Linked DNA regions of Saccharomyces cerevisiae S288C. The protein of the gene in region 4 interacts with the protein of the main gene of each other region in a biochemical or structural test. Each region holds a gene or a part of one and is shown on either strand. Other genes may lie near its edges. The genes, in order: RFX1, TUP1, MIG1 and CYC8.

Evidence for each region.
Region 1: the proteins of CYC8 (region 4) and RFX1 form a complex in vitro, tested with the Saccharomyces cerevisiae proteins (2 studies listed by BioGRID).
Region 2: the proteins of CYC8 (region 4) and TUP1 form a complex in vitro, tested with the Saccharomyces cerevisiae proteins (6 studies listed by BioGRID).
Region 3: the proteins of CYC8 (region 4) and MIG1 form a complex in vitro, tested with the Saccharomyces cerevisiae proteins (2 studies listed by BioGRID).

The regions. Positions count from the first base shown.
Region 1 is NC_001144.5:506,833-512,964, forward strand, and holds RFX1 (Rfx1p), read right to left. Parts: upstream 3,401-6,132; coding exon 965-3,400; downstream 1-964. Other genes in the region: pseudouridine synthase CBF5, read left to right, coding at 1-753; YLR177W (uncharacterized protein), read left to right, coding at 4,222-6,108.
Region 2 is NC_001135.5:258,549-264,378, forward strand, and holds TUP1 (chromatin-silencing transcriptional regulator TUP1), read right to left. Parts: upstream 3,905-5,830; coding exon 1,763-3,904; downstream 1-1,762. Other genes in the region: SRB8 (Srb8p), read left to right, coding at 1-106; AHC2 (Ahc2p), read left to right, coding at 335-721; TRX3 (Trx3p), read left to right, coding at 1,030-1,413; YCR085W (uncharacterized protein), read left to right, coding at 4,368-4,721; CSM1 (Csm1p), read left to right, coding at 4,844-5,416; YCR087C-A (uncharacterized protein), read right to left, coding at 5,458-5,830. UniProt on the Saccharomyces cerevisiae protein: Acts as a component of the CYC8-TUP1 corepressor complex which is involved in the repression of many genes in a wide variety of physiological processes including heme-regulated and catabolite repressed genes.
Region 3 is NC_001139.9:430,562-435,623, forward strand, and holds MIG1 (transcription factor MIG1), read right to left. Parts: upstream 2,502-5,062; coding exon 987-2,501; downstream 1-986. Other genes in the region: VIR1 (Vir1p), read left to right, coding at 1-769; YGL034C (uncharacterized protein), read right to left, coding at 2,653-3,018. UniProt on the Saccharomyces cerevisiae protein: Involved in glucose repression of the SUC, GAL and MAL genes as well as of the CAT8 gene. Binds to two sites in the upstream region of SUC2.
Region 4 is NC_001134.8:462,370-468,931, reverse strand, and holds CYC8 (transcription regulator CYC8), read left to right. Parts: upstream 1-3,161; coding exon 3,162-6,062; downstream 6,063-6,562. Other genes in the region: DNA repair protein RAD16, read right to left, coding at 1-1,684; SUS1 (Sus1p), read right to left, coding at 6,353-6,432, 6,503-6,562. UniProt on the Saccharomyces cerevisiae protein: Acts as a component of the CYC8-TUP1 corepressor complex which is involved in the repression of many genes in a wide variety of physiological processes including heme-regulated and catabolite repressed genes.

The DNA.
Region 1 (6,132 bases), on a different chromosome or scaffold from region 4:
CATGATGTTATGGATGCCCAATGGGTTTACGACAATACAAGAGATGAATCTTACTTGAGATCCATTATTCAACCTTTAGAAACTCTATTGGTTGGTTACAAGAGAATTGTAGTGAAGGATTCTGCTGTCAATGCAGTATGTTATGGTGCAAAGTTGATGATCCCTGGTTTATTGCGTTACGAAGAAGGTATTGAGTTATATGACGAAATTGTCTTGATAACTACCAAGGGTGAAGCCATTGCCGTTGCCATCGCACAAATGTCAACCGTTGACTTAGCTTCCTGTGATCATGGTGTTGTTGCTAGTGTGAAGAGATGTATCATGGAAAGAGATTTATACCCAAGAAGATGGGGTTTGGGTCCAGTCGCACAAAAGAAGAAGCAAATGAAGGCAGACGGCAAATTGGATAAATACGGCCGTGTTAACGAAAACACCCCAGAACAATGGAAAAAAGAATATGTTCCATTAGACAATGCTGAACAGTCAACTTCTAGCTCTCAGGAAACTAAGGAAACTGAAGAAGAGCCTAAGAAAGCTAAAGAAGATTCTTTAATCAAAGAAGTCGAAACTGAGAAGGAAGAAGTGAAAGAGGATGACAGCAAAAAGGAAAAGAAAGAGAAGAAGGACAAGAAGGAAAAGAAGGAAAAGAAAGAAAAGAAGGACAAGAAGGAAAAGAAAGAGAAAAAGGAGAAGAAAAGAAAGTCTGAAGACGGTGATTCTGAGGAAAAGAAATCTAAGAAATCTAAGAAATGATTCTCATCACTCCATCTCATCCTATATATTTAACAGCTTTCTTTTTTTCAAAAAACTTTTTCTATTATTAGATTAGATTTTTTTTAGTGTGTATATTAATAACGTAAAATTTCTTTATCAACGACTTGTAGTATTCTTTTACTTTTATTTTTTTTACATATGCAACGTTATATTCTTTTTTAAATATCCCCATATACTAATGATAGAACTTTTAAACTTTTAGGCCATTGACGAATTTCATGACTTCAAAACAGTAGTTCAGCAATTGGCCCATGACATTATTTAGAAACAACCATGATAGCAAATTCTCATTTGATTTTAAGCTAATATCGCCGATTATTGCATTCCTGAATCTTGTGCTGCAATCAATTAATTTCAAGCACGAAAATTTGCTTTGTAGGGAAATAAAGGAACAAAAATCTTTAATCATTTCATTTAAGGACTTGCATTCGATAGACACAGAGGGATCATTGCTAACGCTCATAGAGGAATTTAAGAACTTTGTTACGAAAACTTGACAGAACCCTTGTAAATGTTGCATTATTGTGTTTGTCTCTGAATTTGTATCGTCTTCATTAATCATCATTTCCAAAATATCGTCTAAATTTACAATATTCTTCCAGTCATTATTCATGCCACTTTTAAATATAGGAAAACTTTTCAAGAAGTTTAGAATGAATTTTAATAACTTTATTAGTTTTTTCACTAGTTTGGTAAAATTATTAATAATTGATAACTTCCTTTGCACTAGCGCTTTTGGTAATTCTAAAACAGCCTTATTAATTTGTTCGGGCAATAGCTTGATCATACTTTCCAGTTTTTGAATGATTGAGTCACTGATCTCATTAGAATGAATTATAAATTGTGAAAAAAATTTGATTAACCCTGTATAGGTGATTAAGTCACATTTAGTTACCCAATCAATCAATGGCTCAGAAATGAATAGATTAAACATCGTGGGCGATATAGAGTTAGAGTTAGAGAAGAATAATGCATTTGATATATTATCACTCTTCAGAAACTTGATGCATTCATAAACGGAGTTGCAATGGATATGATATAATGACTCCAAGGATGATATAACATCCGAATCAGTGTCTGTGGGGAGTACACCTGCGGGAATTTTTGGGAAGTCTAACTTATATGATGTCAAAAGCGGATGTTCTGTGTTCGATAATATTTGGGTATTATAGTTATCTGATAGCTTGTCATTACAATTGAAAACTTTTTCAATTAAATCATGAGTGAAAGTTAATTCATCTGAAGACAGTGTTCCGGTAGGGTTATTTGCCGCTGGTGGCAGCGAATCTAGTTTATTTGCTTCTGTTTCGTTTGGATGCTGTGATTCGAGTTCTGGTTCGTTAGGGTTGTCATTACTACTCTGTTTAACGGGCGACCCAGTTCGAGAAAGACTTTTTCTATTTAATGAGAACGGCGATGAAACGTTAGGTACCTGCGGCGAAGGTGAAGAGGGCGATGGAGACGATAGGGGCGATATGGGATCGTTATTGTGTACTAAGGATAACGAAGCATTGTTGTTATTAAGGGACACGGAGCCGCTTTCGTTGACAGTTAGTTTCAATCCGCAGTAGTGGTATTTGGATTGACCTCTCATACCCAGCCTTCTAGTCGTTAAATCAGGAAAAACTGTTCTTATCAACTTCCCTAATGACGCCTGTGATAAGGGCTTCAGGTTGTTTTGGGAACAAGATGAAGCGTATTGAGCAAATATTTTGCCTCTTGGTACGTAACTATCGTGCTGAGATTTACAATTTTTCATTAACCAAAGTAACGCAAACACTTGTCTTTCTCTTTCTCTGTTTTGTTCCGCCAGCTGCAAAGCTGCCTTTGAAGTGTTCTGTGAGTCCATGCTCAGGACTTTGATTTCTGCATGCTTCACGATCTGCGCATACTCCTCGATGGTTTTAGATTTGTTATTTTCTGCAATTTGCTTAGCAATTATTTCTTGCGTGTTTCTCCTTGAAATGGAAGAGATTCGTTTCTCTTGGCTTGTTTTCTGTTTTTTCGTACTGCTTGGAATTGAGGGGAAGGTATTGGTACGTTTGGCAGCAGTAGGAGGATTATTGTTTAAGGTTTCCTCTGACTTGAAAGAAAGTGGGTAAGCAGATGAATTCGATCTATTCAGGCTGATAGACGCTGGATACACTGAGTATGTGGCAGGTTGCCGTTGTGTTGCGGGTTGTGCAGGAGGCTGTGTAGGGGTAGGAGATGGTTTATGGGAGCCGGGACCACTACCGATAAGTGGCGGTAATATTGGATTTGGCGTCTCCGGGCGGGGGGAACTTTGGTGTAGCAGGCTGTATATTGACGATGATTTGCTCGCTATGGGCGGGATATTCACTGACATGGGGGGCAAATAAGTGTGTGATGCTGGCGGTGGTTGGCTGCTGTACTTGGGTGCGTTTAAACTGTACCGATTACTGTTTACCGAAGATCCGTTACTTGGACCGTTGCTATTGTCGTTCGAGCCCCGACTAGTAGGTTCAATGTTATTATCACCGGACATGGGCAAATAAAATTCAAAATAATGAACAGACAAAAAACTAGGCGAGAAGATGAAGTACTTGGCAGGTATTTTTCTAGTGAAAAGGTTTTCTGTTGGTTTGCGTTCTTTGAAGATTACCATTTACTGCTATTTTTTTTTTCAACTTTTTCCCAAATCGCCATGACAACACGAAACGACAGGAGAAAAATTACGAAATCAAAAACAGGTTCAACTGTTGCAGCAATAGACACCACAAACGTGCGCAAGAAACCGCAACGAAGGGGAGGTGACCGTGCTTGAAATAAAATCCGAAGATCCATAGGTGAGCCACGAGTTTGATTCCAAACTCGTGGTTTTACCAACGAAGCTGTATATCGTGGAGTGGCGCTACCATTGGACCTTCGTTTCTTCTTTCCCTCTTCCGCACCGTACCAGATAGGAAAAACCGCACCTTCGTTTTTGCATACCTAGATGGTCCTGTAACAAGAATAGAGCTAAAGAAACAAGTATGCGTCGACTGCTGCCACGCCCGGCTGATTTAGGTGCACATCAGCTACCCAGCATACAAAGGGGCTTCCGTACGGTTGATGGTTATTTTTCTTGGTGTGTTGGTGCTGCTGTATCGCTGGTGCTGTCTGCGTTATTACGACTATCGTAGGACAAGGCCTCGAGAGGTGTAGGGTAAATCCCACTTGCACAAAGTATGTACACACTTGATTATCCAAATACCAAGAGAGTGTGGTTCAATTTACGGGCAGCTCGAGCTGCCCGTAAATTGAACCTTCCCCTTCCCCACGCTCAAGGGGTTCCTGCGCCGGTGTTTCAGGGGCAGGACACGCGGGGATCGCTGGCACAGTATATAAACAATAAAAGAACAATGGAGAGAGGAGGCGCCATTCAATATCAGCTCACTAGAGTGCATAGACGTATAGACACAGGAATAAAGATAGAAATAGGGTACCATGGAGCTGCCTTCAATAAATAGCACCACAAGTATATCCGACAACCAGGAGTTAAGGAATTACTATGACAAGTTGCTGTTCAAGAACAATAGTGGCAAGTCGCTAGCGGATTTGCCAGGAAAAATGGCAGATTTTAACGACAACAGCGCTGCTGCGCATCCCCGCTCCAGAGTTGACTTTATCAACGGTTACATCGGTTTCAGAGAGGATAAGCAGTCTCTTCTGGGGCAGAAGAACACTAAAAGGGCCTCGTTCAGCGCATTTGCGGACGAAGGAAGGAAACAGAGCGAGATGAGCATTAACGGGAAGAGCCCTAATTTGTCTCTTTTCTCATTTGAGTTTAACGGCACCCCGACTCAGGACAGAAAGCCATACAAACAGGATTACTTGAATGTGATGAACACTTCGCCTAACAATATTCTTTCTCCCTTAAACAACAGCTCCCAAAAATACTATCCACAGAAACAGCAGCAGCAGCAGCAGCAGCAGCAGCAGCAACAGCAACAAAGCATCTTTGACCCGGGAAGAAGATCTTCCTATATTTCTGATGCGCTGATTCATGGCAATGCGGCTACCCAGCAACCACAATACTCGCAACCTGTATATATTAACAACAACCCATCTTTGCAAGTACCATACACTGCTCCTTCCGAGTATACTCAGCAGCAACAGTACTCGTCACCCTTCAATGCTAGGCGCAACACCCAGCCAGTGCTGAACTTGCATCCGGCAGCCGCTCCCACAAACGATGCCGGATTGGCGGTTGTCGACGGCAAGAATTTGACGTCATCCAAGGAGCTGCATGACTTATATCTTGACTGCGGGTCAAACTATTTTGCTAGTGATAAAGTTTATAAATTTATTGACAGCATAAAGGGAACTTTACGCGGGGATAATGTCTCCGCCTCCAGTTCCAGGATTATAGAGTTTTTGGATTTTTTGAAAAATTGTAATCTGAATTACAACCCACAGTCTGACGCATTCATCTCCACTGCTGTTTCAAACGCTTCGTCGACCGGGGCGGCCAAATCCAAGAACAGCACTTCAATGCATTTGCACTATAAGCCATTAGTGTTAGTATCGTTGAAAAATGGTAAGCTCGAACTGTTGTCTAAACCACAAACGGCCACACTTATACTGAAAAGGGGCGATTTGGTCATTATTGATGGTGATCGTGGTAAAGATTTAGTTTTGGTGGTGGAACCGGTTGTAGATATAAATTTGGCACTATTTATAAATTTTTTGAAGAAAAAAATTCACTTTGATTCTCTAATCACCAATAGTCAACAGCATTTCCCCAATGACCAGTTTATCAAGACTCTGGTTGATACAACCAATGGTAAGCCGGTCGCTCATGAGTTGAATCCGAAGTTATATGATATCATTGAACTAACGCAATTGATCATCCCATCAAAGCAGGTTCTGAGATTTGCCACCCCGTGGGAATCCTCCACGAATTTACACAACAAATTCCAGGATGAGCTAAAGGCTCTTCACATTGCACAGCTAAAACTGAGGTCGCTAAATAACAATAACTCCGGTGGCGGGTTGAACATCAAAATATTGAATGCAGAGTTCCAATTCGACAGAAAGAAATTGACTTTCTACTACATTTGCCAGGAGCGTAATGATTTCAGAGACCTGATCAAAGAACTCTTTAAGTTTTACAAAACAAGAATTTGGCTTTGTGCTATACCGAACAATTTATCGATAGATTCCAAATTTTATGATTCAAACAAGTTTGAGTGGGAGATGTATCAGGATATGATGTCCCACTATTCCATGGACAACACTGGAATTGTCGTGGCCCCTGAACTGAATCGCTTGAAACTGGACGACTTCCAGATCGGTGTTTATATGGAATTGGTGAAGGTTTTGTTCGGCTAACCCAAACTTATATAATCATTATAA
Region 2 (5,830 bases), on a different chromosome or scaffold from region 4:
CACAGATGACATGGCTACAGGCAGTAATGATACGACTGCGTTTAACGATTCCTGTGTAAACCTGAGTCTTTTTGATGCTCGGTTTGAGAGGAAAAATCCACATTGATCTCAGAATATATCCAAATGGATAAATTATAAATTTACCAATAACAGTAATTATGTGTCAGTTTTAATACCCAACCAATTGATTCCTCTAAATGATACCGTACCAAATGACATGTTTGCCACCGATTATAAAACTGGGGTTTATGAGCGATGGTTAAGGAGGATTAAGACAAAGTGCTCATCCGCTTACAAGATCAGTACTAGCGTGTACCAGTCTATTTAAACTGGAATGATCACCCCAAAGGGAACGCACGATGCTGTGGCCAAGTTTCAAAAAACTGACCTGCATCAAGATCTCGATTACATCGTACTGCAACAACGAAGAACACAGCTAGAGACGCTTATTAACGAAAGAGAATCTTTTGTCAAGAATCTGTGTTCTCTTTTCCACAAAATTCAAAATACCAAGAATTACCAGGAATTTGTTGATGTATTGGCGGAGAATAGGGATTTACTGCGAGAAATTTTCACTGTAGAGAACGGATTTCAAAAGCAAAAATGGATTAGCAACGACGACATTCCCCAGATAGACTGGGACAAGTTTGCCCTAGATATCAACGCTTATATAGCAGAGAACGATCAATTGTTGGCTTTGTATGAAGATGGCTTATTATGATCAAATAGCGGCTATGGACATTTTTAAACATATATTTATATATATATACATATATGCGTATATTGCATAAATCACAAAGAAGAACAACGCCCTAGATATAGTGACCCAAAATATTATGTTTAAGTTACTGGTTGGGGTTCATGTACATTTTTCACTATCTTTTAATTCCAAATGTGGATTGTGCTTCTGCAGATTTTGTTGCCTAGTATTCTGTGATGGAAAAAATTGCCCCGATGAGATATAAAATGAGCTAGCCCCCTAACCAAAGAAAGCAGGATTGGTTAGTACATAGAGAAACCAAAGCTGTTATGTTGTTCTATAAGCCTGTGATGAGGATGGCGGTGAGACCGCTAAAAAGCATAAGATTCCAGTCCTCATACACCAGTATTACTAAATTGACGAACCTAACAGAATTTAGGAATTTGATCAAGCAAAATGATAAACTAGTCATCGATTTTTATGCTACTTGGTGTGGCCCCTGTAAGATGATGCAACCACACTTAACGAAATTAATTCAGGCTTATCCAGATGTAAGATTTGTCAAGTGCGACGTGGACGAATCACCAGATATTGCCAAAGAGTGTGAAGTGACGGCTATGCCCACCTTTGTTCTTGGCAAGGATGGCCAACTCATCGGCAAGATCATTGGAGCTAACCCTACTGCTTTAGAGAAGGGAATCAAAGATCTATAAATTTTATATTCATGAGCACATGTAGTTTTTTTTTTTTTAGTTTTAAATATAAGAAAAAAGATAGTATATATATATATATATATACATATACATATAAAAGGAAAGTAAGCTTATACAATACACAAATAAATTCATATCAAAGAATAATGAACCGCAATATTCAGAAACACAGGAAAAGGAGGGGAAGGGATGAATGGTGAGGAAAGTAACTGTTTGTTTTAAAGCGTACCTGGATCATAACATAACAAATAAGTAGATAAAAAAGAATAGAGAGAAAGATATAATGACAATGAATTGAAGAATAGTTTAGTTAGTTACATTTGTAAAGTGTTCCTTTTGTGTTCTGTTCTTAATTTGGCGCTATTTTTTTATACTTCCAAATCCTTGCTTTACAATCACCGCTACCAGTAGCAAAAACGTTATATTCTGGACCCAGCGGAGACCCGTTTGCCACAGCCACAGATATAACTGAATTCCTATGACCTTGCAACATCAATAACGGATTGCCGGATTTCTTATCCCAAAACAGGACACCACGATCTTTGGAACCGGACAAGATGTACTCATCATTTTGTGTGGTGGCCACGGACAATACAAAGTCTTTATGCCCGATATACGTAACTTCACAAGTGCCGGAATTTGGAGTTTTCGAATCGCTCTTGTTGTTTGCATTCTGCAAATTCCAGAGCTTAACAGATCTATCTAATGAGCCGGATACAACGCTTTGTCCATCTCTAGTGAAGACAACGCTATAAACAGAGTCCTTGTGGCCTGTACCGGATTCGTTTTCCGAATCTAGTCTTTCCACCAAGAATCCGGTCTCGGAATCCCAAACTCTCACAGCACGATCTAGAGAACCAGCAGCGATGTATTTACCATCACCTGGTGATACAGCGACGGTGGTAACACCATCTTCAATGGATAAAGTCAATGAACACTGGCCTGTACGTAAGTCCCAAATACGAACGGTACGGTCACCAGAACCGGAGACTAATTTGTCACCTGAGGGAAAGTAGTCCAATGAATAAATATCTTGTTCGTGGCCTTGAAGAATCATAACAATCTTTCTATTTTCAATATCCCAAATTCTAATCAGTCTGTCTTCAGCACCTGTTGCCAAAAATTTCCCATCTGGAGAAAAACACACTGAACGGATATACAAGTCGGATGATGGGGAAGACGAAGTGTTCAGGTTTTCCACATCTTTTGCCAATTCTGCTGCCGAAGTCATCGCTGTGGTAGTAATTGTGGTGGTAGTAGTGGTTGTCATTGTATTGTTATCCGTGGACGTGGTGGTGTTATTTTCAGTGATCGAATTTCGATGGTTATTGGCAGCAGAATCGTCAGATAGACGGGCCACCAGAGAACCATCTGAAACGCGATACACTTGAGTAGTTTTGTTGCAGCCTGTGGCTAAGTATTCACCATCGTTACTGAACTTCACGCAACAAACAACTGAAGTATGATCCAAAGATTTGTGTAACTCAACGTCAATTTCTCTTGGTAGTGCCGGGTTGTATAAAATATAATAATCATTTGTTTGCTTCTTCAGAGCATCGGGAACAGACTGGGAATCTAGATCCAAAAGGAAAGGTGGGATAGGTTTAGAGTGGTTTGCTCTTTGATTATAAGGGACTAAGTAGTGATCCTGGTGCAAACTAGCCGGGGTGGCGTCTTCCTCCTTAGGTTTGATTTCAGTTTCAGTTGCGGTGGTAGTGGTGGCCGTGGTGGCGGATCCGGTGTCATTTATCTTCGAGGTATTATTATTTTCCGGTTCAGTTTCTTTCAACGTAGATTCAGGTGCCTTGACAGAGGGTAAAGTAGTGGTCTCTTTAGAAGTAGGAGATCCGTTGATGGCTGTGTTACTCAATGGTGCCACGGAAACCTGGGGAGGTGGTTGCTGTTGTTGAAGTTGCTGCTGTTGCAGTTGCTGTTGTGGTAGTTGTTGTTGGGCGTTTGAGGACACCACAGGCAAAGTGGTGGTAGGCAACTGTGAGCCAACCAGATTAGGACGGCTAGCTTGTACTGGGAAGGCCGATGGCGAACCAGTAGTTGTGTTTGCTGCTGGAGTGGCGGTGGCCGAAGTAGTAGCCGGTGGTTGTTGCGCAACTGGAACAGATGCAGATGCAGCGGCTAGCTGCTGCTGTTGCTGTTGTAAATGCTGCTGGACCTGTTGCTGCTGTTGCTGTTGCCGCTGTTGCTGGACGGTCAAAGATGCAATTTGATGGTCTCTTTGCTCCAGCCCTAGTTTCAAGTGCTTGATCTCTTCTTCGTACGCGTCCTTCATTTTCCTGTGAGTTAGTTCCAGTTCGTAGACGGTGTTTCTTATCTGCTGCATCTCAGCCAGCTGCTGGTTCATTTTGAAATCGTAATCCTTTTGGTTTTGAAGACGGTAGGTATTTGCCTCTTGTGAGACTTGGAGAAACTCCTGTCTGATGGCATCGAGAAGCTCATTCAGCTTATTCTGCGTATTCGAAACGCTGGCAGTCATATTGGTTTGGATGGAAAGCTGATTTCTTTCTTCCCCTGCTTATCAAAAAAGACAAAAAAACAATAGAAAAAGAGTAGTGGTGTGCGAAAGGTAACTTGGCGTGAAAGAAAATTAAACAATTGCAGAAGGACAGATAGAGGGGCACGTGTTCAGCCAGTTGTTCTTGCTTCGCTGATGTTTATCAATTGGGGGTAGATGGGGGAATTTCTCTCTATTTGTTTACTTATGTACTTGTTATTTTGTTTTGTTGTTTGTTGCTTTGACGGGAGAGCTTTTTAATTTTTTCGCAGTTTTTCAGTGTTTTTTGAAAAGTACGAAAAATTAAGGTCCGTCGGTAGCGATAATGTAAGAGGGTTCTGTCTCTAAAAATGTTAGGGTGAAAGTTCCAAAAAATTATTAACTCCTAGATTGCTCAGCCAAAAAGAAGGGTAAATTAGGGCTTTCCTGGTTTATTTATTTGTTTATGTTGTTCTTATATACATATGTTTATGTCTTTTTATGTACAAATAATGATGTTTACAATGAAACATCTGTTATGCTATCAAAAACGTCAGCGCATTGTTTTATAGCTGAAGAAGTTACAACGGATAACGGTCTGATTTGCGGCCTGGCAATGCTTGGTAAAACTAAATATCAATTTTACGAATTATTTACTGTATATAGTATTCAGTCCCTCACTCAACTGGCGTCAAGAGTGAAGAAGGGCGGCCTCATTATGGCTCGCCTTATTCTGTTCACCCTCTGCGCTCTTCCCGTATTATTTCATTTTATTTTGTTTATGCTTCAATATCTTGTATTTGTTTACATTGAAAAATGATTGGAAAAAGGTCACATTGAAATCAAAACAGTGAAGAAGCAGACAGACAAGAAGGTCATTAGATAGATAAACAGGAACAATAAAAAAAAGAAAGCGAAACAAGACAATCCAACGTGCGCAAAATGGATCCATTGACTGTATACAAAAACTCAGTGAAACAACAGATCGATTCCGCAGACTTACTAGTGGCAAATTTGGTAAATGAGAATTTCGTACTGTCGGAGAAGCTGGATACAAAAGCAACCGAGATCAAACAGCTGCAGAAGCAGATAGACTCGCTAAACGCACAAGTCAAGGAGCTGAAGACTCAGACTTCCCAACAGGCAGAAAATTCAGAAGTCATAAAGGACCTTTACGAGTACCTCTGTAACGTACGTGTACATAAAAGCTACGAGGATGATTCTGGGTTGTGGTTCGACATCTCGCAGGGCACCCACTCAGGGGGATCTTCCGATGATTATTCGATAATGGACTATAAACTCGGATTTGTCAAGGGCCAGGCCCAAGTCACAGAAGTCATATATGCGCCCGTTCTTAAACAGCGATCCACCGAGGAACTATACTCGCTACAGTCGAAACTACCGGAATACCTCTTCGAAACGTTGAGTTTCCCCCTCTCGTCGCTAAACCAATTCTATAACAAAATCGCTAAAAGCCTGAATAAGAAAAGAGAGAAAAAAGATGAAACCGAGTAAGCTGCTACATAATGTCTATATATCTACACATAAAATTCCGATTATTCCTTTGCATACCTGATTTGCCCCTCAGAATCCACAACCAGACTTTTCAAGAAGGTCTTTTTTGCCCCTTTATCCTTCATGGTTTTCAAAATTTTGTACAACGACTTGCCCTTGTGAAGCTCGATACCGTTCGAGGTCTTTTCCACTTTCTCTGCCTTCTTGATCACAGGCTTCTCCACTTTCTTTGCAGGAGTTGCCACTGGCTGGTGCTGGTGCTGCTTCTGCTGCTGCTTCTGCTGCTGCTTCTGCTTCTGCTTCTTGTTGCCCTTGTACAACGCTTTCTGGTACTTCTCGTCCTCGCTGATGCAAGACGTGTGATTCTTGTAACTCACGCCATCTTCAAACGTCTTGGAGCAATCTATGCATGTA
Region 3 (5,062 bases), on a different chromosome or scaffold from region 4:
GTGGAATGACGGTTCTGAAGTTTATAATGCATTTTATAAGGAGCTTTTCTATGAAGAGCAACCAAAGATTAAGCCAATAAAACTAACAACATCTGACTTGCTGAAATTATTCCCTGAGGATGTTCAATTTGTGATATCCACTCCACCAAATACAATAACTTCAGCATCAACAAGCGATAATTGTACATCATCACAATCAGCTGCGCAGAAAAATATTGAAAACTTTACTACGTTATCGAAGTACGATGTCTACTCGTCCACATCTTTCATACCGTCCACGTCGAAAAACACTAACACTAACGTTAGTAAGCAGCAGCAGCAGCCTCAAAACTCTACTCCATGTTCTTCCAACAGGTTTTTGTTCAACAAAAGCAGCCTAATTTCTCAGGAAAGTAATGGTAGCAACAATAACAGCGGCACACAAGGACCTGGTTCCATGAATGAGAGTTATTCTCTTGACAATTCATTCAACACAACCAATACCAATATGACGAGACAACCAACCACCTTAACTAGAGCAACCGATGCTATGACTACGGCACCTACGACACCAATTCCATACAAGAACACTAGTGGAAGCAGCAATAACAATCTATGGATTGAATCGCCCATGACAAATTTCAAGGGTTCCACCATCAGTAAAAGTACTAATAAGAGCAAAATGGTTAATACTGGTAAAAATTATATTTTAGGGGGCCACAATAAAGTTAAAAACAACAGTAGAGCTCAATCAATACATATAGATGACTTTGAAAATGAGAACAATTAATTATCTCTGCGGAAGACTAAGACAATCAAAATATGTATTCTTACTATCATAATTAAATATTTTTATCGTTATTAATTATTATTATTATTACTATTATTATTATTATTATTATTATTATTATTATTATTTATTATTTATTAATTATTAATTGTTAATATTATTAATTCTTGTCTATTGTCTTTTGATTTATCTGCACCGCCAAAAACTTGTCAGCGTATCAGTCCATGTGTGGGAAGGGCAACGGTAAACTTCTTATGGGTGGTAATGTTTCCAGTTCTTGAACTTGTGAATCCGACTGAGAAATGGGGGTTTGTTGGGTGGATATAGCAGTATTAATCATATTCACCCTTGGTGACAATAATAACGGGGTTGTACTTAACGAACTACTGGAAGCCATCATTTGATTTTGATTTTGATTTTGACTTTGGTTTGACGTATTTTGTGATTGCAGTAGGGTATGTTGCTCTTGCTGCTGTTGTTGAACGTTCAGTAATCTGTTGTTCAACTCCTTTTGGAAATCAGGAGATGATGAGGAGAAATGCAAGTGATTTTGGTTCATTACATACCCCAAAGTGTGCAAATTCGTACCACTAGTGGATCTACTTAGCATTGTCGTGGGCGTGGAAGTCTTAGATTTCTTTCTTGATTGCTCTTGCAAATAGTCTTGCTCAAGGTTATCGATACTAGAGTTAGACGGGTCCTTTAGTCCGTCTTCTTCATCCTCACCACCAGTAGTAAAATCAGAGTCAGATTCGTTGGTATTTCTTTGGCCAACCAACAAGTCGTTCAAACTTAAAACTGAACTTGGTCTCTTCAACTGTACGGAACTCTGAGTTTGTGCTCTGAGACTTCCATTGTTGTTTGGATTTGCATTGTTCAATCCTTGAAAATCCGTTAAAGATCGCGGCCTTGGTAATATAACAGTGTTGGAATAACGTGGTGAAAGAGAATTTTGTTGTTGTTGTAGTTGTTTCTGTTCAGGACCGTCTATGAAAACAGTCCTTGGCGCACTGCTAGCAATGGGCGTCATCATTTGTAGGGACGATAACGCGTTCAGTTTCAGTCTACTGCCACTATGGCTATTGCTCAACGAAGACAAAGCAGTGGAAGCGGATGAAGTTTGGTAGTTCATATTATTCAGTGCTAAAGAAGGTGGAGGCTTCACCGAGACGGGAATCTTAGCCATCGTTTTGGGAGAAGAAACCATATATGGGTCATTCCCACCACTTTCGCCGATTTCGAATTTGGTTTTTCTACCTTTTCTTGTAGAAGATCGACTTGAATTTTCTTTCGGAGCAATAGCAATAGGAATTAAAGGCGATAGGTGTTGCTGTGGTAATGGCGGTGAAAAATTTGCCGTATTTAAATCTGGTATACTGGTAGCACTAGAACTAGCACTATTTATTGGAGAGCCCACAACCTTCTTCTTTCTGCCTCTTTTACCTCGAGGGTGGGAGTTTGTATGAATTCTTCTGTGTCTCGTCAGTTCATCGCTTCTACTGAACCTTTTCACACATCCGGGGAAGTCACACGCGTGAGGCTTCTCACCTGTATGAATTCTCATGTGTCTCGTCTGATGTTCCAGTCTGTGAAAAGCTCTATGACAGATAGGACAAGCATGTGGTCTTGGCGCCTCTGACTTCGCAGCTACTTTGGACTTGCTTTTACTCTCCTTCAATAGTGACCCATCATCAACGTTAGACACTTGTGTCATTGGATATGGGCTTTGCATGGCTATGGTAGTATGTCGTCTCCACTATACTCAACTCTCGTGTAGTTACAAGCGAGCTAGAATAAATGGCTCTCTTATCTTCGAAATGCTTTACCGGGCTTTCTTACTCTCCTTTGTCTTCGTTAATGAGTACTGGGGTGAAAAAAAAGGGTTATAATAAATAAATTATCCAAGAACGACTATTCTCTTTTCTTTTTTCTGCTTGCTCTTCCCCACTTTTCTCGTCCAGCCTGTTGTAAAAATTTGTTGTTGCTTCTTTCGTATTAGTTTTTCCGAAAGAAAGCGCCGCAGGGCCTTTACCATCACTCCAGGTTTTCCCGGAGTGGGGTGGCAGTCCGCAGTCTCTCGCGAAATCAAAGGCAACAAGCAGACACGTGGAGAAAAGCCAGGAGAACTCAAGAGCTCGAACAAGTATGCTAGCAACTAAACAAGCCGGCCTACGCCACTCTGGAGTTTCTCGCGGGGCCCGGCCGCTACAGGTTTCCTGAGAAGCCATTATAATGGCAACTACATTCATCAACACTCCATAAAATCCTATCGAGTTACACTGCTAGTGTCGCAATTGCGCTTTTCTGCTGCTTAATTGTGGGCCCCAAGCTCTTATCACTTGCTACCATCCTATAAACTGTATGGAATGCCATCACAACTTTCGGAAAAATAAAGCGCTTTTTTACGCTATCAGTGGAGATATTACGAATTAGGCACAGGGAAGAAATAGATAAAAAATTCATGGGGCCAACCCCAGACGTCAATCTTCTACACGTCAAGTTTTGAAAAAAATTAAATAAAAAATAAAAAAAAAAACCGGCGCGAAGGAAACGTGCTGGCTCGCTAACTTCTAGTCTTACTGTACTGACTACCTTCCAGTCCTACTGGTTATACTGCATTGTACGGCAACTTACACACCCCACGCACTTACTTTCCTCCACAATGCCATCTAGAAAAATCGATTACCCGCTAATTTTCCGGGAAAAAGTCGATTAATGTAGGTTAGTGGCAGCTATGCTAAGCAATGATAAAGGAACCATACACGATATTTCTACAGAAGGCTATTAAATAGGGTGAAATAGGATGAAGCAACAATCAAAAATTATGAAAGCATCCGTTTTCTCGCTATTCTAATAATGGGACAGAACTGCCAATTCTTGATCTGGTGATCCATACGATTAAAATAGGGGTTCATCGCATGGAAAGTCTGTAAATCACACTTGCCTACCATAAGGAAGTCATCAATTCCCGAATTTTAAACGGGTTTCTATGAGTATTTGGAGGATGTTCATTCTTGGTAACATTACTGATGACATTCAGTGATACACTGCCTTCAAGGAAACACACGCGATAGAGGCAAAACAATGTTGCAACGGCAATTAATTTCTGTCATTGTAATGAATTTCTGCTCGTTGCTTCTAACCATATCTTGTGTAACGCTTGCGTTGATATGCAAAAATAACGAGATGGAATTTGCTGCCCTCTTTCAGCCATATGATGGCGGCAAAAACTTTGAAATTTGTGCACAGGATATAATAAGCTACTTCTTGACTCTAACGCCGTACTACAGTTTACAAAAAATGTATACAAACTCTTAGGATTGGTCAAGAAAAGTAAATGTTGTACTGCTCCAAAGATATTGCGATGCCGTGATAATTCAAAAGGGTCGACCCAGTCTATTTCACTCGCGCGATAATCGTTCGTTATCCGAAGCTGGCCAATTGATACAATTAATTGACATCAGCAGACAGCAAATGCACTTGATATACGCAGCTTAAAGCAAGGGTAAATTATCTGAAAAAGGATTGAATACAATCAAAACCTTCACATACATTGGTAGTAATATCGAGCATCGCTATTAGCAGAGTATCTCGAAGTCTACCACGGCGAAAGTTGATTTTTTATCTGAGGTGCTGATCTTCGGACGCAATGCGCAAACGTAATTCCGTAGTTTTCCCAATTATTTTATTTTTTAAATTACACGTACCAGGTAGATCACATACATATACCCAACACCTGTTATATAGTGAATTGAATTATTCGGAACATCAATAATCCTTTGCTTATAATTCTTGTTATCATCCATCTTGCATCTTTATTTAATTATATTTTGCACAATAAGCTATCTATGTGAGCTGCGTACGGTGACTCCAAACAATCTGTTAATTTCCATATAAATAACTTGTAGTCGGATCGTACAATGGCTCTATATAGGTTTGGACCGGTATGTAACCTAATATGGCTGACTCAAAACCTGCTAGATAGTTATCCAAGTGAATTTGAGTCTCGTATCCTTTATCACATTTTTACAATAGTGGCTAGCTATCTTTTTCATGTTAGGCTCACCCGGTATTCTCATGCAAGATCAAACAAAAAATGGTAAAGTTTTGGACTTTACATTGCTTACAGTTGCTTTTTTATGAAGATTCAAAAGATTATGTCCTCGGCGGCTAAATTTTCCATTAATAATATTATCCTTTTACGCGACCGAAAAAGAGAAGCGTTTTAAGAGTTGTTTCTAACAAATATTAATAATAAAGCTAACGTGAACTGACCAGGCTCTATTTGAAAGA
Region 4 (6,562 bases):
TGATGCATAAACGACAGAACTTATGGTGACATTTAGATTCAATGGGCTCCTCAGCTTCATCGTTACATAATTGGCAGATCACGACGCCGATATCATCGCCAGGAAAATTGTTTAATCTTTTCAAAACTAAATCAGGATGATCTGCCAGTTGCCTCATTCTTGTGATTAGGGTGAAAATGTTTGCATAATTGTTTAGAACAACACCCTCCTCAACAAAGGAATTATACTTCCTTTTAGAATCTGTGTATAAACTTCTGTAAAGATCTTTTTCCTCTTCATTGAAGAAGTCTCTCCTCACGGTAACAATTCTGGGCGGTAGACCCAAGTCATCCGCTCTTTCCACTTTAGTTCTTCGCAGCATGATGTTTTTCAATAATGTCTGAATGTTATTAAAAGACTCTAAACCAGGACCTTCCACACCAAATTTCTGAATGTTCTTCAACATGAAATGGTTGAAGAAATTCGTGTGTTGCATAATGACGTGACTACAATGGTCACAATGCATGCGATCCGTAAATTTCCAGTCCTTCGAAGCGCAATCACACTTGGTACAAAAGTACTTTGTGAAAGGATTGATATTTAAGAATCTGATCAAAGAATACATCTCACCAATTCTATTTTGCAGCGGAGTACCCGACAGGCACCATCGCTTTTGCGTTTTTAAGTTGTTTACAGCCCTAGCAGTATTGCTTTGTCTATCCTTGATATTGTGTGCCTCATCCAGAATAACTCTATAAAAGTCAATATTATGCAATACGGAAGGCTGCTTGAAAAGTCCATTTTTCCTTCTAAACCCGTAGTTTTGCTTTCTGAATACCGATTCCAGCACTGCGTAAGTGGTTAGTACAACATCGTAGCCTTGCAAATCTTTGATATCCGTGGTTCTGGAAGCACCGTGATAAATGTATATTTTCAGTTGTCCCTTTGTATGTTGTTCTATTTCGTTTTTCCACTGCATCAGCGCCACGGTAGGGGCAACAACTAAAGACGGAGACTTAGTCAAATCGTTCATTAATAGGGCAATAGTTTGGATGGTCTTACCCATACCCATTTCGTCTGCCAAAACACCGCCCGCATAAATGCTCTCCTCTTGAGATATTAGCCAATGAAGACCTTCTAACTGGAAAGGTAGCAGTTTGATGGTCATACCATCCGGCTGCTTGGATCTTTGGGGGACATAGGGAGGTGCATTTTTCAAATCCGTGAAAACATTCCTTAGTTCAGGATGATGCTCATATAATCGCAAAGTGTTTCTTTCATATGGGGTTACCTTCGGTGACTTTTTCTTGGTGCTCGTTTTTTTCTTCTTCTTCCTAGCAGTTGTCTTCCTTTTCTTTGTTAACGGTTCGTCGTCATCCGAAACATCACGTTCCTCCTTGATTTCTATTATCTCGTCATTATCATTCTTGATCGCATGAGTATTCTCATCGGTGGCGGTCCGCTCTTTATCTGAACCTGTTAGGTCTATGATAAAATCTTTGTCATCGTCGTCGGGTGATTTCACGAGCGTAGCATCATCACGGTATTCTTCATCTTGGCTGTCATTTACGTTTTCGCTGTTCCCTTTCAGCTGCAGAGTTTTTGAGTTTTTCACAGCTGTATCGTCATCGCTTAGTTCATTATAATTAACACTTTTTTTCGTACTTCTCGTACGCCTTCTACGGATAAAGCCCCCTTCTTGCATGATTTTTCAGTTGGTACACCAGTTATACGGCCAAGAGTATCTAAAATTACCAAAACTACTAAGGTTTGAAAACACCACGCAGCATTACGTCGTTATACTGTCGGTTTTATTAGTCCTTAAGGTCCTATCTGTGCATTTTTTTTATAGCGTTAATCCGAAACTTGAAAAAAAAAAGAAAAGGGAAATGAAAAGGGAAGAAAAAGAAACGGAGGCGCAGGAGGAAGGAGGGGGGAAAAATAGAAGCAACGCAGAAGTCCCCACTGTTTCCCTGGCAACCATGGCGGGAAAAGGGTAACAGATTTTTTCGAGGAGTAACACATTTTGTGCTGTGTGGGTTGGTAGTTTTGGCGGCTAAAAATCAAAGGGAAGAGGGGATGTACTACTTTCAAACCTTCTCACTTTTTGTTGATTTTGAGTGCTGTAAGGATTGTGGTTTAGGCATTTTGACAAGCTCCTTAAAATCTAAGCGTCGGAACAACTGACGAACTTTAAAACCATAAACTCAAAAACCGGTCAACATGAAACCGTTACGGTTTCTCGGTATCCTATGCTTTAAGCTAATGAAACATCCACATAACGAAGATAAAAACTAAAGCACATCCGATCTGAGTTTTGAGCTGGGCGGCAAAAACAAAACTGTCAGTGGCTGGCTGATACAGGGCACGTGAGAGGTCACTGAGGACGAAGGGTGCGGCTCACCCGGATTGGCTGAGTCACCTTCATCGCGTCCACGTCACTCCTCGTTCGCTTTTTTTTTCCCTTTTCTTCTTTTGTGCACCACTCAGGGCACGAGAAAAGCTTATTTTTTTCGTGCACACTCCGTTCTTAGTGGTTGTTCCACATCTTTTTTGTGCTTGTGCGTTTGCCAATGCTAAAATGGAAATTGCCTTATAACGTGGGCCATGTCATGCCGTGTCCTCTCGTTTCGTAAAACTTACCACACGTACCGGACTGTTCCGTCCTGTCTCGTATCGCACGGGTGCCGTATCGGCTCTAATTATTTTATCTCTCTATTTTCTTTCTTTTCTCTGCGCTACTCCTTTCTCGATCGTTGCTACTCCCGTCGCTAGCCACTGGTCTCCCGCGTACTGTACTCCATCTTTTTTTGGCGTTTTTCCCCTATCCAACTCGAACAAGGTTTGTTTAAATTTATTTTATTTTTCTTTTCTTCGGTCGGTCGTTCTTTTCCCTTCCGATTATCAAAGCAAAAGCGCATTTTTTTCTTTGTCTTTTTGTTTTTTGTTTCCTGTTCTCTGTTTTTTTACAAACCACGTCAGGAGTTCAATTGAGAGAACTAGAATCAACAAAGCCAAATACGACAACGTCACTAGTCTTTGAACCAGAGGCGTATTCCCGTTACCTCTTTTCCCATATTTCTGTTTTTCTTTTTCACTGCTATAAGCCTTTAGACTAGTACTACAACTACAACAGCAACAACAACAAACAAAACACGACTGGAAAAAAAAAATTAGGAAAAATGAATCCGGGCGGTGAACAAACAATAATGGAACAACCCGCTCAACAGCAACAACAACAGCAACAACAACAGCAGCAACAGCAACAGCAGGCAGCAGTTCCTCAGCAGCCACTCGACCCATTAACACAATCAACTGCGGAAACTTGGCTCTCCATTGCTTCTTTGGCAGAAACCCTTGGTGATGGCGACAGGGCCGCAATGGCATATGACGCCACTTTACAGTTCAATCCCTCATCTGCAAAGGCTTTAACATCTTTGGCTCACTTGTACCGTTCCAGAGACATGTTCCAAAGAGCTGCAGAATTATATGAAAGAGCACTTTTGGTAAATCCCGAACTATCAGATGTGTGGGCTACTTTAGGTCATTGTTATCTGATGCTGGATGATCTGCAAAGAGCTTACAATGCCTATCAACAGGCTCTCTACCACCTCAGTAATCCCAACGTACCGAAATTATGGCATGGAATCGGCATTCTTTATGACAGATATGGTTCGCTCGACTATGCCGAAGAAGCTTTTGCCAAAGTTTTGGAATTGGACCCTCATTTTGAAAAGGCAAACGAAATTTACTTCAGACTAGGTATTATTTATAAACATCAGGGTAAATGGTCTCAAGCTTTGGAATGCTTCAGATACATTCTCCCTCAACCTCCTGCTCCCTTGCAGGAGTGGGACATATGGTTTCAGTTGGGTAGTGTTTTGGAGAGTATGGGAGAGTGGCAAGGTGCGAAGGAAGCCTACGAGCATGTCTTGGCTCAAAATCAACATCATGCCAAAGTATTACAACAATTAGGTTGTCTTTACGGTATGAGTAACGTACAATTTTATGACCCTCAAAAGGCATTGGATTATCTTCTAAAGTCGTTAGAAGCAGATCCCTCCGATGCCACTACATGGTACCATCTCGGTAGAGTGCATATGATTAGAACAGATTATACTGCCGCATATGATGCTTTCCAACAAGCTGTTAATAGAGATTCAAGAAACCCTATCTTTTGGTGCTCAATCGGTGTTTTATATTACCAAATTTCTCAATACAGAGACGCCTTAGACGCGTACACAAGAGCCATAAGATTAAATCCTTATATTAGTGAAGTTTGGTACGATCTAGGTACTCTTTACGAAACTTGTAACAACCAATTATCTGACGCCCTTGATGCGTATAAGCAAGCTGCAAGACTGGACGTAAATAATGTTCACATAAGAGAAAGATTAGAAGCTTTAACAAAGCAGTTAGAAAACCCAGGCAATATAAACAAATCGAACGGTGCGCCAACGAATGCCTCTCCTGCCCCACCTCCTGTGATTTTACAACCTACCTTACAACCTAATGATCAAGGAAATCCTTTGAACACTAGAATTTCAGCCCAATCTGCCAATGCTACTGCTTCAATGGTACAACAACAGCATCCTGCTCAACAAACGCCTATTAACTCTTCTGCAACAATGTACAGTAATGGAGCTTCCCCTCAATTACAAGCTCAAGCTCAAGCTCAAGCTCAAGCACAAGCTCAAGCACAAGCACAAGCTCAAGCACAAGCACAAGCACAAGCGCAAGCACAAGCACAAGCACAGGCGCAAGCACAGGCACAAGCACAAGCACAAGCACATGCACAAGCGCAAGCACAAGCACAAGCACAGGCACAAGCACAAGCACAGGCGCAGGCACAACAACAACAACAACAACAGCAACAACAACAACAACAACAACAACAACAACAACAACAACAACAACAACAACAACAACAACAGCAGCAGCAATTACAGCCCCTACCAAGACAACAGCTGCAGCAAAAGGGAGTTTCTGTGCAAATGTTAAATCCTCAACAAGGGCAACCATATATCACACAGCCAACAGTCATACAAGCTCACCAACTGCAACCATTTTCTACACAAGCTATGGAACATCCGCAAAGCTCTCAACTGCCACCTCAACAGCAACAACTACAATCTGTTCAACATCCACAACAACTTCAAGGCCAGCCTCAAGCCCAAGCTCCCCAACCTTTAATCCAGCATAACGTGGAACAGAACGTTTTACCTCAAAAGAGATACATGGAAGGTGCAATCCACACTTTAGTAGATGCCGCCGTATCCAGTAGCACCCACACAGAGAATAACACAAAGTCTCCTCGTCAACCAACCCATGCCATTCCAACGCAAGCTCCCGCAACAGGAATAACGAACGCTGAACCACAGGTAAAGAAGCAAAAGTTGAACTCTCCAAATTCAAACATCAACAAATTAGTAAATACTGCTACTTCCATTGAAGAAAATGCAAAATCTGAGGTGAGCAACCAATCGCCAGCAGTAGTGGAGTCTAATACCAATAATACTTCACAAGAAGAAAAACCTGTAAAAGCAAACTCAATACCTTCAGTAATTGGCGCACAGGAACCTCCACAGGAAGCTAGTCCTGCTGAAGAAGCTACCAAAGCAGCTTCTGTTTCTCCTTCTACAAAACCGCTTAATACGGAACCAGAGTCATCTAGTGTCCAACCAACTGTATCATCAGAAAGTTCAACAACAAAAGCAAATGACCAAAGCACTGCTGAGACCATAGAACTTTCTACTGCTACTGTTCCTGCAGAAGCAAGCCCTGTAGAAGACGAAGTAAGACAGCATTCTAAAGAGGAAAACGGCACAACTGAAGCATCTGCACCTTCTACTGAAGAGGCGGAGCCAGCAGCTTCCAGAGATGCTGAAAAACAACAAGATGAAACCGCTGCTACAACGATAACTGTAATCAAACCTACTTTGGAAACAATGGAAACAGTGAAAGAGGAGGCCAAAATGCGTGAGGAAGAGCAAACATCTCAAGAAAAATCCCCACAGGAGAACACACTTCCAAGAGAAAATGTAGTAAGGCAAGTGGAAGAAGATGAAAACTACGACGACTAAAAAGTTTGCATTCAAAAAATTAATCTACTAATTTATAATCAACGAGAAATGTTGTGTAGCTCACAATTCATTCATTATGTTGTGGATACATATATAAATAAAGAAAAGGCTAAAAAAAAAGGTGGGTAACGTGAATTAGGTTATTTTTCATATATGCACATGTAAATATATGCGTATATAAATATATTATTATTTGTATCATTACATACTTAAAATCTATTATTGCTTAAAAGGTTTTCCCGATGAGCATATGTAATAATATTGGGAATTAAGGTGCATTTTCGTATCCTTCATTGTGTATCTACAATCTCTTCAAGAAATTCCCTTATTTGCTTTAAAACGGTTTCCCTTGTTGAATCCGATACCATTTCTAGAAAAAAAAATTCCACTGTTAGTAACGTTCTCTTTTCAATAAATTTAGTGATAAAATATTCACATACCTAATGCTTTGGGTTCTACGGTGGATAAAATTTGGGTAAAGTTCGTAGATTCATTTATGT